Notamacropus eugenii: one gene and its partner. The protein of the gene in region 2 purifies or fractionates together with the protein of the main gene of each other region. This does not show direct contact. Links are inferred from orthologs where the notes say so. Each region holds a gene or a part of one and is shown on either strand. Other genes may lie near its edges.

Evidence for each region. Proteins that work in one complex are often made in the same cells at the same time.
Region 1: the proteins of ATXN7 (region 2) and ATXN7L3 purify together in Homo sapiens (affinity purification with mass spectrometry; 9 studies listed by BioGRID and IntAct, counting the BioPlex papers as one, with this or other methods). This does not show direct contact. The link is inferred for Notamacropus eugenii from reciprocal best matches to the Homo sapiens genes ATXN7 and ATXN7L3.

What each region holds. Positions count from the first base shown.
Region 1 is NC_092873.1:349,845,913-349,854,096, reverse strand, and holds the start of ATXN7L3 (ataxin-7-like protein 3), read right to left. Parts: upstream 3,121-8,184; 5' UTR 2,849-3,120; intron 2,151-2,848; exon of another isoform or gene 2,038-2,150; intron 1,366-2,037; 5' UTR 1,306-1,365; coding exon 1,255-1,305; intron 763-1,254; coding exon 630-762; intron 49-629; coding exon 1-48. UniProt on the Homo sapiens protein: Component of the transcription regulatory histone acetylation (HAT) complex SAGA, a multiprotein complex that activates transcription by remodeling chromatin and mediating histone acetylation and deubiquitination.
Region 2 is NC_092874.1:460,449,296-460,457,039, forward strand, and holds the start of ATXN7 (ataxin-7), read right to left. Parts: upstream 3,383-7,744; 5' UTR 3,284-3,382; intron 3,079-3,283; exon of another isoform or gene 2,891-3,078; 5' UTR 2,880-2,890; coding exon 2,579-2,879; intron 2,436-2,578; coding exon 2,367-2,435; intron 1-2,366. UniProt on the Homo sapiens protein: Acts as a component of the SAGA (aka STAGA) transcription coactivator-HAT complex. Mediates the interaction of SAGA complex with the CRX and is involved in CRX-dependent gene activation.

The DNA of each region.
Region 1 (8,184 bases), on a different chromosome or scaffold from region 2:
GATTGTACACTTGCCCAAAGATATCCACACCAGGCTGGTCTACAATCTCTGGGGAGGTGAGGGTCACAAAGATCAGGGTAAGGAGGAGGATCCTTTATATACCTTTAGTAAACAGTCCTGATTTCACACACAACTGCCCCTTGAGCTATGACATGCAGCTCCTCATGGGCAGAGATGGACACATGGGACTGGGAGAGAAAATAAAGATCTGCTGTTTCTAAGGAAGGCTCTGAAGGTCATGTCTACCCACCGCAGAATTTAGCAATCATGGTGCAGATGGCACAGGCAGGAAAGTAATACTAAGCCTCAGCCAGGACATGACAAAGAATACACTCCTACTTGCACACTGCTACCCTGTTTACCTACCTCCTGCACCCCAACCCTCACCCCCAAGTCAGAAAAGGCAAGGCTGTTTTTTAAAGCATTAGGTCTTTTCAATTCCCACTCAATTCCTAGACCCGAGAGAGTTAGTCCATAAGATCCAGCCCTATACCACAACTAACCATAAGAACCCCAAGCCACACAGCAAGGAAAATTAACTCTCCCCAAGGCCAAGGTTCACACTCTACGGAGACATGAAGTAAGCCTCGAGGATAGAATTTGTATCATTTCCACCATCTGAGCCTCACCAAAGTCCTTCATGCTGTCAGGGTCTGTGTCATCTAAGAAGAAGTAGCCACACTTGACAGCCCGGTGCACCTCAAAGCAGAGTCCCAGACAAGCATCTTCCACCAGGTCTGTGTAAATCTCATGAGCGATGGCCTGGGCCCCCCAAAAGAACAAGAGTGATTGCAGGGGCCCTTTTCACTTGAGCCTTACTTCCCTAATGTTACCTACAACTGCTTCAGACCCAAGCACGAGAGGCCCAGCCTCCATCCTGAATTCCTATTCTTCTTTCTCCCAGTTCTCAAGGCTTTCAGTTATTCCTTTCCCCAAAAAAGTGGTTATCCCATATTCCTGGAGCCTAACGTTGATAGCTGAAAGGAACTTCAGAGATCATCTAGTCTATCCTCAGAACATTTCATTCAACCTCCTCATTTTTCAAAAGGAAAAACTTAGTTATGGAAAGTTGATGTGACCTGTCCAAGGTCACACAGGTAGAAAATGGCAAATGCACAATTTGAACTCAAGCCTTTTCTAACTCGAAATCCTCCGGTGCCTTTTCTACCCAACGGTTTCTCTTTGCTGCTGATAATGAATATAGATAACCAGAAAACAAAGATGACAGACAAACAGATGGGAGAGAGCTCTCACCTCCAGCTTGCTGTTATCCAGGCCAGACAAAGACATTTCCTCCATTTTCATTTGCAAACTCTCGTGGAGAAGACGTTCTGACTGCTCATAGCACAGCAGGAGGCCACACAGCTGTACACATGGAGGGTTGGGGGAGGAAGGGTAGCTTAAGTCCAGAGGATCTCTACTACCTACTCTCCCCCAGCCCCAGCTCCCCTCTCCCTTCATAATTTACTGATCCCTGAGTTCTTCCACCTTGTTTAAAAATATTCTTTCAGTGGTTGGAAACCTGAAACTCTCTTGAAGTAGGGTGGAAGGGAGAAAATTATACAGATTCCTAAGCTTGACCCTTTCCACCATCATACACACATCTCATCCCCAAAGTGACTTCTGTTTTGCCATGGTGGCCACAGAAGGCCTGGAGCTATGCCACCTTAGGTAACTCCCTGTCCTAGACCTTTGCCGAATTCTCACATAAATTTAGAGAAAGAAGGTATCTTACGGATTTTCTAGTCCAACCACTTCACTTTACAAATTAAGAAACTAAGACCCAGAATAGTTAAATGACTTACCCAAAGTCATAGTAACTGGCAGGAGGACCCTGGGTCTCTCCTCATGAAATAAAACCAAACCAAAGCAAGGAAGCTAACCTTGTAAGAAGGTTAAGATAAAGGAGCAAGGAACCGGGCAGGATTTTTGCATTACAGTGCAGAGAAATGGATTTTGAATCACAGAACCAGGGTTTTAGTCTTGGCTCTATCACTTAATACTTGTGACCTTGGGCAAATTACTTAACCTACTAACCTTAGGGCCTCCCTTTCCTTATCAGTAAAGTGTAGAGGGTGGAACTGAGGAGCTCTTAAATTCTTGCCAGTTGTACACCTCTTATTCAGCATTGATTAAGGATTAAGAGCTAGGAATTGGAAGATCTCCCCCAGCCCCCACCCAACAATCCCATGCCCAAGGAGGACAGCATGGCAGAAAGCAGTAACCCATCTCACCGGTTCCCTCCTCCCAACAGTGGAGTCTCTGGAGGTGTCAAGGAGCCCCCCTCCCCCTTTAGGGCTAAGAATACCCTAGGGCTTGTGAATGGAGGTAGGAACGAGGCACTTAGGTTGGGGACTTTAGTTTTTCTCCCCCACCCTGCCCGATACTGCATTGACGCTGCATCACCCTGGGGGGGGGGGGGGGTAGGGAGGAGCCCAAACCACACCAGTTCCCATCTCTTCCAGTCCTGGGGAGAAACAAGGTCCTGCCCCACCCCACAACCTCCCAGGCCCGGGCATCCTCCCTGCCCTGCCCCGCAGGAAGGGGTGCTCCAGGGGACTATTGTCCGAGCTCCTCAGGGCAACCTGGTCTTCCCTCCCAAACAAAGGGCAGCGCCTTCCTCGGCCCCGGGGGCCTCCCCCATCCCAAGACAAGCGCGGGGGGAGGGGAGGAGGGAAAGAGGGCACGCCACACCCCGGGACCGAGAAACACCCACTGCTTCCGGGACTTGGGGGAGGGGCGGGGAAGAGAACGCGGGCCCGGCAGCGGCGGGTCAGAGGGCGCGAGGGTCAAGGGTCAGGGGGCGGAGGCACGGGACCCCAGGCCCCTCCCCTCCCCCCTCACTCACCCCGCCCGGGGGGCTGCGCCGGGGCCCCGGGGCCTCTCGGCCTCTCAGGGCCGCGTCCTCCGGCGGCGGCGACGGCGGCGGCTGCTGCTGCTGCTGCTGCTACTTCTCCGGGGACCCATGTCCGTCCGTCCGTCCGCCCTCGCCTCGCCTCCCGGAGCCGGGGGTCGAGCCGCCTCCTCCCCCCCGCCGCCGCCTCAGCGGGCGGCCATGGCCCCTTCCTTCCCCTCCCTCCTGGCCTCGCTGCCTCGTCACCGCCTCCTGCTCACCTCACCCCGCCCCTCCTCCTCCAACCTCCCCCCCGCCCCGGGACGATCCAGCCCGCCTCTCCCGGGCGGGGGGCGCGGCGCGAGGAGCCCAGAGCGCGCGCGCGCGAGGTAAGCCGGGCGCGCGCGCCACCCCGCCCCGCGCTCGGCCTCCCCGCAGCGGCCTCGACCCTCGGGCCCCTCCCCTTCTCCCGCTGTCCCCTCCCTCACTTCCTGTCTTCCTGCACTCTCTTCCGCGCGCGCAGCGGCTGCTCGAGCTAGCGGGGTCCCGGCGCGTGCATCTGCCCCGCGGGCCGCCGCTCGGCCGCATTGGCTATTGGGGGCGGAGATGGGGCGGGGGAGGCGGAGGGAGCCGAGCGGAGAGGAGGAGGGCCACGCCGCGGCCGAACGTCCCGACGGCCGTACCTCCCTAGAGAGTGTGCGGAGGGGGCGGGGCCTCGATTGTCTTCTCCTCGCCAATAGGAAGCACGCATCCCCGCCGACAGGCCTATAGGACCGCACGGAGCGGAAGCGGTGTTTAAAGCAGGGGTGCGCGAAGCTTGGGGAGGTGGATACTTTGTTGCAATCCCGGCCGGCTAACTGGGCGGGGAGCCGGTGGTGTTGAACTCTGGTGGCCGCTCCCCTCCATTCCCCTCCCCGCTCCCTGGGGACGCCTCTGGACCCGCAGTCCCCGCCCTTTTCCCGGGGAAACCCCGCCTCTCGCATTGCAGGCCCAGTGTTCTGGGGAACGTGGCTTAGTGAATGCCGCTGGTTCTTGCTGATTTACCCTTTTTCTGGGCTGCGAAGAGGGTCCCAGGACTTCTAGCTGTGGGGCCAGACGCTGCCCCTTGAACCCCCCTAACTCCCCCCCTTCCCCGCCTCCCAGTGTCTACGCCTCCACCCCCCAACGTGCCTTTCAATCGCCCCTCCCACTGTACCAAGGGTGCCACCTTCCTCCATCTATTTGTCACCTGGTCGAACTCCTTATTCTCTAGCGATTGCCAAGCCATTGTTAGTCTTTTCATTAAAAAAATAATTTCAATGAATAATAGTTAAAATTTTCACATACAAATGTATCTTTGTTCTTCCCACCTCACACCTTCCTTCGTTGGGAAAAAAGAAAAAGCCCTTGTAAGAAATATGCATAGTCAGGCAAAACAAATTCTCTTACTGGCCGTTTCCCAACACGGTGTTGTAATCTACCTCCTGGTTCCATCACCAGTCTCTCAGTAAGTGGGCAGCACATTTCATTTGGGGTCCTCTGAAATCCTGGTTGGTCATTGTCTGGTTCAGAGTTCTGAAGTCTTTGACAGTTCCTTGTCTTTAAATTTATTTTTTTTTACATTAAAGACTTGTTTTCTTTGCTTCCCACTTCATCTCCACTGAAAAAAAAGGAAAAAGCTCTTTAAGCAAATATGTATGGTCAAGCAAAACATTTTTAAATTGGCCGTGTTTATAAAAAAAAAACGATGTGTTTCAATCTGCATCCCAAATCCATCACCACTCTCTCAGGAGATCAGCGCGTTTCCCGTTGGGTCTTGGGGAAATATGGCTGGTGATTTCATCGATCAGAATTCTTAAGTCTCTCAAGTTTGTCTTTACAATGTTGTTAACTGTGTAAGTTCTCCTGCTTTTGCTCATTTCATTCTGCTCAGTTTATTTGTTATCCCATGTTTCTCTGATAGCCTCCCTTTCATCATTTCATTGAGAACAATAAAATTCGTTACATTAATACATCATAATTTGTTCAGCCATTCTTCAACTGAAGGTCATTCCCCTATTTTCCAGTTCTTTTCAGCTACAAAAGAAAAAAAATAAGCTGCTATAAATATTTTTGCATATGGGTCCTTTTTCTTTGACCATTTTGTAGCATAGCTTAGGTATTTCTACGTTAAAGGGTCTAGTAATACAGGCCTACTTGTGGCAAATGCACAGTTTAGTAACTTTGGGGGCAAAGTTCCAAAACTGCTTTCCATAATGACTGAATCAATTCACAGCTCCACTAACAGTGCATTTTCCCCTCATAACCCCTCTCACATTTGTTATTTTCCTTTTATGTCAACTTTGCCAGTCTCTTAGTCTTTTCTCAATGAACTCAAGGTTCTTCTCCAACCTCAAACCCAATCTTCATATTTGGGGACTTCAAGATAATTGGCAGTCTCCTGAAACAACTAGAGCTCACAGTTTAAGTGCTTCAACTCCCATGACCTCCATCTTTTCTACCCCTCAGTTGCCTAGAACTCCTCAAATAATCAGATCATCACCTGTAATGCAATTATTCCATGTCCTGCATCTAAATCTCTGAATTCCTATCGTCACTACCTGGCACCTCTTAAATCTGTTTTTTATGCTTATGGTGGCCTCCAATCTTTCTATCCCTTCCTGTTTTATTCTCTGTCTTCCTTTCCATGCCTTCATGACCTTGACCAGTTCAACCACATACTGTTAGTTACCTTAGACTCTTTACCTTTTGGTCCTCTCATCAGCTAGCTATTCCTTGCCAAACTGCTGGATTACTGCCACCATCTGCTATCTCTCTTCCTGCTCATGTCTCACAGAAGTCCTTTGGGGAAAGTCAGACACCATGAATAAAATTAGTGTAGATGGAATTAGAAGAGAAGCAGTTCATTGGAGAAAATATCTTTGCAACACATATCTATAATAAGGATATCTAAGATCTGATATACAAGATTTAAATGCATAAGAACAAGAGTCTTTCGCCAATAGATAAATAATCTGAAGAGGTAGGTTTTTTTTTTTGAGCAAGGAAAGAAAAATCTTTTTTTTTCTTATCACTTTCACTTCCTAATGTATTTCTCTCCTCTCCCTACAAAAAGCCATGCTTTATATGACAGGGGGCTGGCCAATGAGAGCCCAGCTTGGGAACATGTGCAATCTTCTTTGCCTGGTATAATCCATATGCATAATAGCATGTCCTGCTCCCCATTTCAGAGCATGCCCAGGTATTCTATAACTATTTGCTGTCTGATTACTATGTGCTGAAGAAAAGGCTGACTGCTGAGCCAGAAAAAAATAGACTATGCATGCAAAAGGTACTAACTAGCCAAATGGACCTCCCTTTCCCAGCCTAGTTAGAATTGGTCACTCCATATAGCGTTGGGGATACAAAGAAAGACAAAAGACAAGAGCCCCTCCCAGTCTAATGGGAGAGACAACAAATAAACAACTGTGCAATAACAAGCTATATACAGGATAAATAGGAAGTAGCCGACAGAGGGAAGGCACTAGAATTAAGAGGAATTGGGAAAGGCTTCCTTTAGAGAGTAAGGAGCAGGAACTTCTGGGGGCTTCAAGGTGGAGGAGGGGCCTTGGGGCTGTCTCTCACCTATTTGCCAAGAAGTCAAAGGGGCATGGCCCAGCTATTTTGATGTCCCTATTGTTCAGTCTTTATGCCCCTATTTGGGGTTTTCTTGGCAAAGGTACTGGAGTGGTTTGCCATTTCCTTCTCATCTCCAGCTCATGTTACAGATGAGGAAACTGAGGCAAAAAGGGTTAAGTAACTTGCCCAGAGTCACACAGCTAATGTCTAAGGTTGAGCTTAGATCATCCTGCATCCAGGCCTGGTGTTTTTCTATCCACTGTGCCACCTAGCTGCACCCCCCACCCATTGTTTTTGTCTGTTAGTTATATCTGACTCTCCATGATCCCATTTGGGGTTTCCTTGGCAAGGATACTGGAGTGGTTTGCCATTTCCTTCTGCAGCTCATTTTATAGATGAGGAAACTGAGTCAAACAGGGTGAAGTAACATGCCTAGGGTCACCCAACTAGTAAGTGTCTGAGGCCAGATTTGAACTCAGCAAGATGAGTCTTTAGTCAGCTACTAAGTATCTAAGGTAAAATTTAAACTCAGGCCCCTGCACCATCTAGCTGCTTCAAAGATAAGAATAGTCCATAGTAGAAAGAGCCATGTCTTTGGAGTCCAAGGACATGGGTTGAAGATCCTCCTCTGATGCTCCTTATATGATTTTGAAGATGTTGTTTAGGCTCCCTGGGCCCCAGTAAAGTGAAAGGGAAAGGTGGAGCCTTTTATTTCTAGACCTATGGCCTGTCATTGTGAAAATACTGATAGTAGCACTTCTTGTAGTAGTAAACATTTGGAAGAAAAGGGAATGCTCATTGGCTGGGAGATGATTGAACAAGGTTGGCATGTGAATGAGATTAAAATCATGCTTTATGAAATTACCTCTGAATATGAAGAATTCAGAGAAACTTGGGAGGACTTATACAAACTGATTTAAAGCAAAGAAATCAGAACAAGAAGAACAGTGTATGTAATGACCACAATTATGTAAAGGAAAATAACTTTGAAAGACTTTACAACTCTGATCAATGCAGTGACCAATTATAATCTCGAGCAGCTAGATGGTACAGTGGATAGAGTGCTGGGCCTGAGCTTAAATCTGACCTCTGATAGTTAGTAGCTGTGTGATCCTGAGAAAATCAATTAAATTAATCCTGTTTGCCTCAGTTTCCTCATCTATAAAATAAACTTGAAAAGGAAATGGTAAGCCACTCCAGTTATCTTTGCCAAGAAAATCCCAAAGGGATCACAAAGAGTTGGACATGACTGAATGACAAATTATAATTTCAGAGGATTTGATGGTGAAGCCTGTCTCCCTTCTTTCTGCAGAGAGGTGGCAGACAGAAGTGTGGAATAAACACATACCTTTTGAGACAGGACCATTCTGGAGATATGCTTTACTCAACTGTATTCATTTGGTTATAAAAAAAAAGGGTTCTATGGGTGTGAGGGAATTATTGAGAAGTGTTAAGAATGTGAGGAAAAAAGCAACAATAAAATTTTTACCCCCCCCAAAAAAGTACCACATAACCAAGTTGTCTGGATTTTACTGGTTTTATGTCATCTAATCATTGGGACTCTTACAGCACAATAATCCTTTTATTTTAGACTGAGTCTGATTACAACTCTGTCTCTCTGTCTCTATCTCTGTGTCTCTGTCTCTCTCTTCAGACTTCTATCACTTCTTCCCCCTTCCTCCTTATAGTATCATAGGCTTGGAGCCAGAAGGAACCAAATTGTTGTTTAATTATTTCTGACACTTAGTGACTTC
Region 2 (7,744 bases):
ATCCAGATGATACACAAAATTCCAGATCAAAGTCTTCCAGCTCTATGAAACCTTACCTGACTTGTCCACCTGCTACAATGATCCTTTCTTGATCCCCCTCAATACTGGTGCCTTCCCTCTACTGATTTCTCCCCAATATCTCTTCTGTTCAACTTGTTTGTACCCAGTTTGTAAAATTGTGAGCTCCTTGAGAGCAGGGATTTCTTCCCCGCACCCTTTTATTTTATTTCCAGGGCTTCACATGATGTCCATCACACAGTAGGTGCTTAATAACTGCTTGCTGACTTATCTATCTTGCATTTTTTTTTGAACTTTCACAATCTATGCCACACAACCAAGCATAAAACTGTATACTGTTAATCACTAGCCTTTCACTGACAAGCCTCTTTTCAACCAGATTACAAACTCCTTGAGAGCAGGGTTAGTGCATTACATGTGTCCTTATTCCTACAAGCAGCTAACAGAGGTGAGCAAGAGGAGAGGATGCCCTATGGATACTTACTGACTTATCCGATGAAGGTCTTAAAATTTAAAAAAAAAAAAAAAAAAGGAAAACTATTGTCGTCAGGGAATGGAGTGTTCTAGTTAATCCAATATTCTGCTTAAGCGAGTTAAGGTATACATGTCATAGGATTATCAGTTTTCAAAGAACTAAAATGCACTCCATAAAACTGACCTGAGCATAAATGATCTTTGGTGATTCAGAGCATGGATCTGGCCTCTTTCTGAGCACCTCACTGTTACTAAAACGAGTTAGCCTTGAACTGGCAAATTGCAGAAGACCCAATAAGAGAGCATTGGGGATGACAGGAAGCATAACAGAGCTTACTCTTTCATTCTAGAAAAGACAGTCGATTCTCAATGTTCTATTAACGAAGGAGAATAAATAAAATTAAAAACAAAAAAAATCCAAAATTCATTCACATTTACCTCTGGAATACAGACATCTATCCATTTAGGTAGACCAATGCACAATCAGTTATGCCTGATAAAAGGTGGTAGGAAACCTTAGGCCTTCAATTAATTTGCAGTGAAATGGCTTACAGATAATTTATGGTGGAATGCTTTTCAATTCAATTTGAAAAGCATTTACTGAGTGCCTACTATGTACCATCCCCTTGGCATGTTACACAGTGGGATACATATGAACTAGGGAACAATAAACCAGCTTCCGAAAAAAGGCAAAGAACAAGACCCAGAACACAGGAATCAAAAACAGGGCATTAAAAATGAGTCCTTCCAGTTGGATCCCAAAGCAACCCTAGCTAAAGAGGTACTAATGATTCATACAAAGGGCTCCCTAAGATCAAAAACCCTTCCTAAGAAGGTCTACACACACAGCCAAGACAAGTCCTCTACTTTAGTGTTTCCTCTACAACATCTACCCATTTCCAAGGATCTCCAGGGAATATTCACCACAAGATTTTAATGTTTTTAATGCCCAGGCAGGCTGCCAATTCAGCACCAAAACCAGACTAACAACTGATTTTTCCTATTGCAACATCTCTGACAAGGGCTGGGCTTCCTTGTCTCTTTTCTAACAGCAATTCTCATTTCAAAACCAATTTATTTGTTCTGCGATACTCTCCAATCGAGAAATCTCTACTGCCACCGGGAGTAGTGGGTTACCTAAGTGTGCCAAGACACTCCACAAGTGGCCTACAGAAAGGCCCAACCAGCAGTACAAACAAAAGCTCAGGCCTCTAAAAGTGGCACAGGCTCCCTGTGGCGCTTTCCCGTCCCTAGGCATCGGGCTCCGGGACCTGAGGGGACCTGAGGGGAAAAATGAAAATAAAAAGCTGCCAAGGCACGCTGCCAGGGTGAGAACCGTAAAGCCGAGCGTGGGGCCTGCACCTCCCGGGCATCTTCCTTTGGCCAGCGCCACCCTTGGCCGGCTTTGGGGCGCAGAGCCTGAACCCAGGGCCCCCAGCAGCTCCCGAGGGGGCTCACTCTGCTGGGCGCCGACGGCCTTCCCCTGCCCCCGTTCGGGGGCACAGCCCCTGCTCTGACCGAAGCCGGGCGCAAAGAGCAGCTGCTGCTGCCACAACCAGCCTCGGACCGATGACTGGCACCCCCAAGGGGCACCCGGCCCGTGCACAGGGACCCGACAAGGCTCCGTCCGGACTCCGACTTTCACCAACTTCGCGTCCAGACGAAGCTGCGCCCCCTCCCCGGCCCCGGGGCCCGTCCGCCCGTGCTGGCCCGGGCACCCCGAGCGCGCCCCTCCAGGTGCCCGCGAGCCGCCCGGCCGGGGCGGAGGATGCTCCCGGCCGGGCTGTTAAAGGGCCCTGGCTCCGCCCCTCCCCCGGCCCCATCCCGGCCCCATCCCGGCCCCATCCCGGCCCGGCGCTCCAGGCCGGACTCACCTTCTCGGCACAGCCGCATTACTTCGCGGTTTTTCCCAAACTCCTTCAAACTTTCCTCCGATTCTGACCCTGGGGAGAGAAGAACACAGCGCCCAGAGCGGCCGGTCAGTGGGGGGCGCGAGCGGCGAGCCGGTGCCGGCCCGGCAGGGCAGGGCGGGGGCGACCCTCCCCCGGGGCAGGGGCCGGGGGTGGGGGAGGAGGGGGATCCTCACCGTCCTTCCCGGGAAGTTTCGCGGCTTCTACCCAGTGGTTCCACGGCTGTCCAACCATCGCCTCCGGACTGGGCAGAGACCTGCGCTCCCCGACGGTCGCCATTGTGACTGCGGAGGCGGAGGCGGAGGCGCCGCCGCTCTGGGCCGGCCGGGGCCGCGGCTGGGGCTGGGGCTGCTGGGGCTGCTGCCTGGCGGCCGCCGCTGCTCCTCCCGCCGCCGCCGCCGCCGCCGCTGCCGCCGCCGCCGCCGCCGCCGCTCTGCGCGGCTCCCCTCTGACGTCATCCGCGGCCCTCTCCGACATTCTTTCCGCTGCTACAATGTAACAAAAAAAGGGGGAAAGAGTCGCGGGGCTTCTTAAGGAGGCGCTGCCGAGGCGGGGCGGCGTGCGCGGCCCGGGGCCGGGTGGGGCGCTCTGACAGCCGCCCCCGAGGGCAGCTCGCCCTCCCCCTCTCGAGCCCCCGGGGCGCGGGGGAGCGAGCGGGGCACAAAGTCCGGGAAGGGCGGCCCTCCCCGCCCCCTCCCCCGCTCCCGCGCCTCGCCGCCCCCGCCCCCGCCCGGCGTTTGCTTTCAGTTTCGGATCAACCTGTCCGAGAGGGGCCGCCGGGGCCGGGCCGCCCGCCTCTACGGCCGGGCCCGCGCTCCGCGGCCGGCCCCCCGCCCCCGGCCCGCCCTCCTGCCCCCTTCCCCTCCCCCGCAATGGCTCGCCTGGCGTCGGCCGCGCTCATCCCCGGGCTGGGCCCCGGGCCCTGGCTTCCGTCGGTCCGGTGGGCCGGCCGGCCGGCGCCGCTCGCCCGCCCGCTGCCGGCTCCCTTAAGCGGAGGCACCTCCCGCCGCCGCCTCCTCCCCTCCCCTCCCCGCCCCGCTCCGCTCGGGCGAAGTTTGCACGTCAAGCCCCCGGAGTGGAGGGTGAAGCAGGGAAGCGAGGCGCGGCGGGACCATCCCTCCGCCCCCGCCCGGCCGTCGGCCGGCCGCGGGGTCGCCCCCGCGCGTGCCGCTCCGGGCCCTTTAAACCCGGCCCGTCCCGGGGGGGTGGGGGAGGAGGAGGCCCCGGCGGCCGGGGGTCGCCCTCGGGCCGCCCAGAGCCGAGCCCGGCCAGCGGGCGTCCCAGCTGTCAAAAGCGTGAATGGGGAAGCCCCGACCACTCACTCGGGGCGCCCGGAGTCACCGCCGGAGGGGGGCAAGGGGAGCGAAAATCCGAGCGCGAGCTCCCGGCACATGCCCGCGCGTCCGCGGCCGCAGGCCGAGCGTTAGACCGTGCCTTTGTATGTGCACTGGCACCGGGCACCGGAGCCGAGCTGAGCGCACCGAACAGCGCTTAACCCCTTCCAGGCCTGCGGGGAAAGGCAGGCTCGGAGCAGAAGCCCGCTGCTCTCAGGGCCCGGCGAAGTGCCGGGCGGGTAAGGATCGCTCCCGGGCGCTGCTTCCGTGGGACCCGGGGAGCCAGGACCGGAGCCTCCCCAGAGGGAAGGCGGAGAGGCTGCTGCCTCTCAGGTCACCCCGGAACCCCGGGCCCGCCGAGGCTAAGCTCACGTCCCACTCTCCTCCGGCCGGCCGGGGCACCTCTCCTCACGCCGGGGTCCAGACTTCCACCCCCCGCCAGGCACACCCGGCGAGTCAGTAACGACAAACAGCCGTACCCCTGGAGAGACTAGAGATTAGTGCGGAAACAGGGATTCCGCTCACGGAGTGTAACCGACAGGCTCCGAGGGAGCGTCCGGGGGACGTTTTGGGGCAACCCGGATTTTAACCGAAGCGTTCCCCGGACGGCGGTTGTTTTAGGCCCAAACAGAAGAGGCTGGGAGGATATTTTTTTAAACAAAATTTGTAAATGGGGGGGGGGGGGGACTGATGGTTAATGTTTTCCTTGATTTCCTGGACGGTTGCAGACAAGTCTTGAGTTCAAGAAAATGAAATTACTGCCCCTTTTCCTGCCTTTAAATAAGTCCTAAAAACAAAAAGCCGTGATCTGGAGGGAAATCATTTAAAGAAAGCAAAACAACTTCCTAATCCAGAACCCAATGGAGAATAGAAGTCATCCGATGTATGGAATGGGCCGCTAGGTGGCGCCACAGAGCGCGAGGGCCTGGATCGGGAAGACGGTCTCCCCAAGTTCAAATCAGGCCTCAGACACTTCACAGCTGCGTGACCCTGGGAAAGTCATTTCACCCGCCGGCCCGAGGTGGAGACGGACACGGCAAAGCACCGCAGTGCCTTTACCAAGACAACCCCAAGCAGGGTCACGAAGAGGACAAGGCGGAATCCCGGGGGCCTTCAGAACCACCGGGCCAGGAGCTCCGGCCGTCATTGCCGTCAGACACGGAGCCACACGTGTCCCCAGCAGCGTTCCTGACAGGTGACAGCCGGCCGCGCTCTGTGGATGACTTGCGGTGATCCGGGAGGGACAGAAGGACTGGAACTCCTGTGATCGTCACCAGCATCGTTAATTAAGCTCCAGTGCGCTTCCCTATAATGTCCTCCCGTGGGTCTCAGTTCTCCTGTACACAGTACTCAGAATAAACCTCCTCTCTTCTAAAATGCCCTCATCCAATAAGGAGCTCCATTTCAGCTCCCAAGCTGACAGTTCTTTTCTAAACCAGTCAAAAAAGAAACCACATAAAAGCAGCGTACAAACCCTTATTAGTACTGCTAACTGAGATGTTGAAAGAGGACCGGACTGGCTAACCCAGCTGTTTACAAGCATAACCGATGGGCCCGGAGCAGCAATTTTTCTTCCTTAAATACTTTCTCATATGAGTACATTTTCCCTTATTCTTCTATTTACATTTTAGATTTGAGCACATTGATAATTTTCCACTTCCACATTTAATAACGCTATCAAAAATTAAACTCTAATTTGGAGCTGCCTTCAAATACCATGTTTAACTGTCCACTACAGTGATATCAGAGGATGATGACAAATGCCTTGCTTTCGTGTACAAGACAGTGAAGCCAACAAACTGGAGGCGGCAAATACCCTCTCCATGGCGGTAAGATGCAAACAGTAGTCACTGCTTAGCTGATACTCCATTTCCCACGTTCTGGTGTTTGAGTCAAGGACTGGTGAATTCTCTCCTAACTAGTCCATGTCAATTACAAAACAAAGCCAAGCAATCTGTCCTAATTCCTCATTGGTTACTGTTTGTCAAGGAAAATCACAGACCACGTATATTAAAATTAAGGCCGAACGTTAAACAGAGCAACATTTTTGCCTTTCTTATAAAAATAATTGTTTTATTAGTTTCTGTTGAATGCCTATAACAGCAAATTCAACTATTTCAACTAATCCTTGTCTGGTAACCTCAAAACACAAATAAAGGGGGACAAGGGAACCAGACCATCATTGATTCTTAATCGTCTCTGCCAATGCATTTGTCACTCTTGAGCCCAGCACTAAGAACTACATGAGGTGGTTTATAATGTTCAGGCTTTGCTTCAGACTATCCACAGACATTAGCTGGATGCTGGTATCTAATTGGGGGTTCATTTTTTGAGCATTTTACACATAGACCATACGGTAGACATTCAATTTGTGGAAATGAATACTTGGGTTTGCCCTCAAGCCTGTAGGAAGGAAACCTGATGAGCCCCATTCCCTAGAATGGAAATCACGCCAAGGGACAGGCTTAAGAGCACATCATAATTTCTCTTCTTCATTTAACTCCATTTACTGTAAAGCAGTAGCATGCCTGCAAGGCATGAAGGGTAGATGTCCACTGATGTGATTTCATTCTCACTCTTGAAGTTCTCACAGAGTGTTGACACTAATCCAATGATAAGTTTATCTTTTGACTGTGCCCATTATCATTTGTCCATGCACGTAACTCTGGGAGAAGTCTGGACCAAGCCTCATCCAAGGAGTTCTATGGAAGTAATGGTTCTGTGTCACTGGTCTGCATCCCAGCCCTGCCAAATTCTGAGCCTTTTAATTCTGAGGATCTGCTGAAAATGCAGTCTTACCTCACTATCCAGATTTAGGGATGGTGACATTTGGAGCCAAGAATCACGTATCTCTCTTTACAAAGAGGATTCTTTACGTTACAGGTTCACTTATAAATATCTTTGTTCAGAGACCAGTGGTATGGTAAGGGGAAAAATGAATACCTTTCCTTCTTTACAAGCAGTACATGATCAGATATGGGTAAGACCTTCCAAGGAATCAATACCTGAAAGTGTCTGAGAGGAAAATCTGACCCAACATCTTCATGTCTGAAAATGCACATCCAACTTGTCTGTTATGAGTCTCATGATGACAGTGGGCTCCCCATGCCAAATCAACCTAACGTACCTGAGGCATATTAGAAAACATAAAATGAACCCTTCATATGCACAGAGGAATGTGGCTGGAGTCTAGGCCTAAGCTTCAACCTAAGCTTGAATCTAACGCTGCGCAAGATTCTTGTCTCTGTCTTTTTGCCCTCCTAACCATATGGTTTACCAGGTTTTTCATCATTTTGTTCTGCATGCAGGGCGGCAGGCTGGTCTTTACGACACGATGCTCCCCCTAGTGAAGTCTCTTTACAGAGACGCATGTTTCAGGAGAGGGGAAAGAGGGGCAGTGGCAAAATGAATTCATCAGCTCAGTGGCCAGGAGTGCTGACTGTAAGGCACCAAGCTAGGAAGAATGAGGTCAGCTGAGAAACTGGGGACTTAAAGTGGAAGGATAATTATCTTTCTCATGACCCGACCTGAACAAATGTGCATTCTTCAAATCAAAACCCCTCCCCCGCTTTTTTCCTTTTCTTGATCACTGGCATCCAGCTTCCTGATAATTCCCCAAAGATAACTTTAGTATCAAGAAGTTGTTTGCAGCTTTTAAAAAGAGAAACAACTATTTTAAGAAGCAAAAGACAATAAAAGCTCTTCAGCCCACCTATAAATATTCAAACGGTTTTAGGGATCTACAGGAATAGATGTGTAGACATCCCTAGAGTGAAAAAAGGGTGATAGAGAGTAGAAGAAGGATCTGAGTTCTGTCGCTTCTTTCCCTGTGAGACCTTAGGTAAGTGACTTCACCTTGGGGTCTTGGTTTCCTCACCTGTAAAAAATGAGGACATTGGCCTAGATAACTTCCAAAGTCTCTTCTGGTTCAAAATCTATGGGGCTCTTACTGTGCTTCATTTCAAACTCATTTGCCCAGAAAAGAAAACACTTGAGAATGGAAGACCT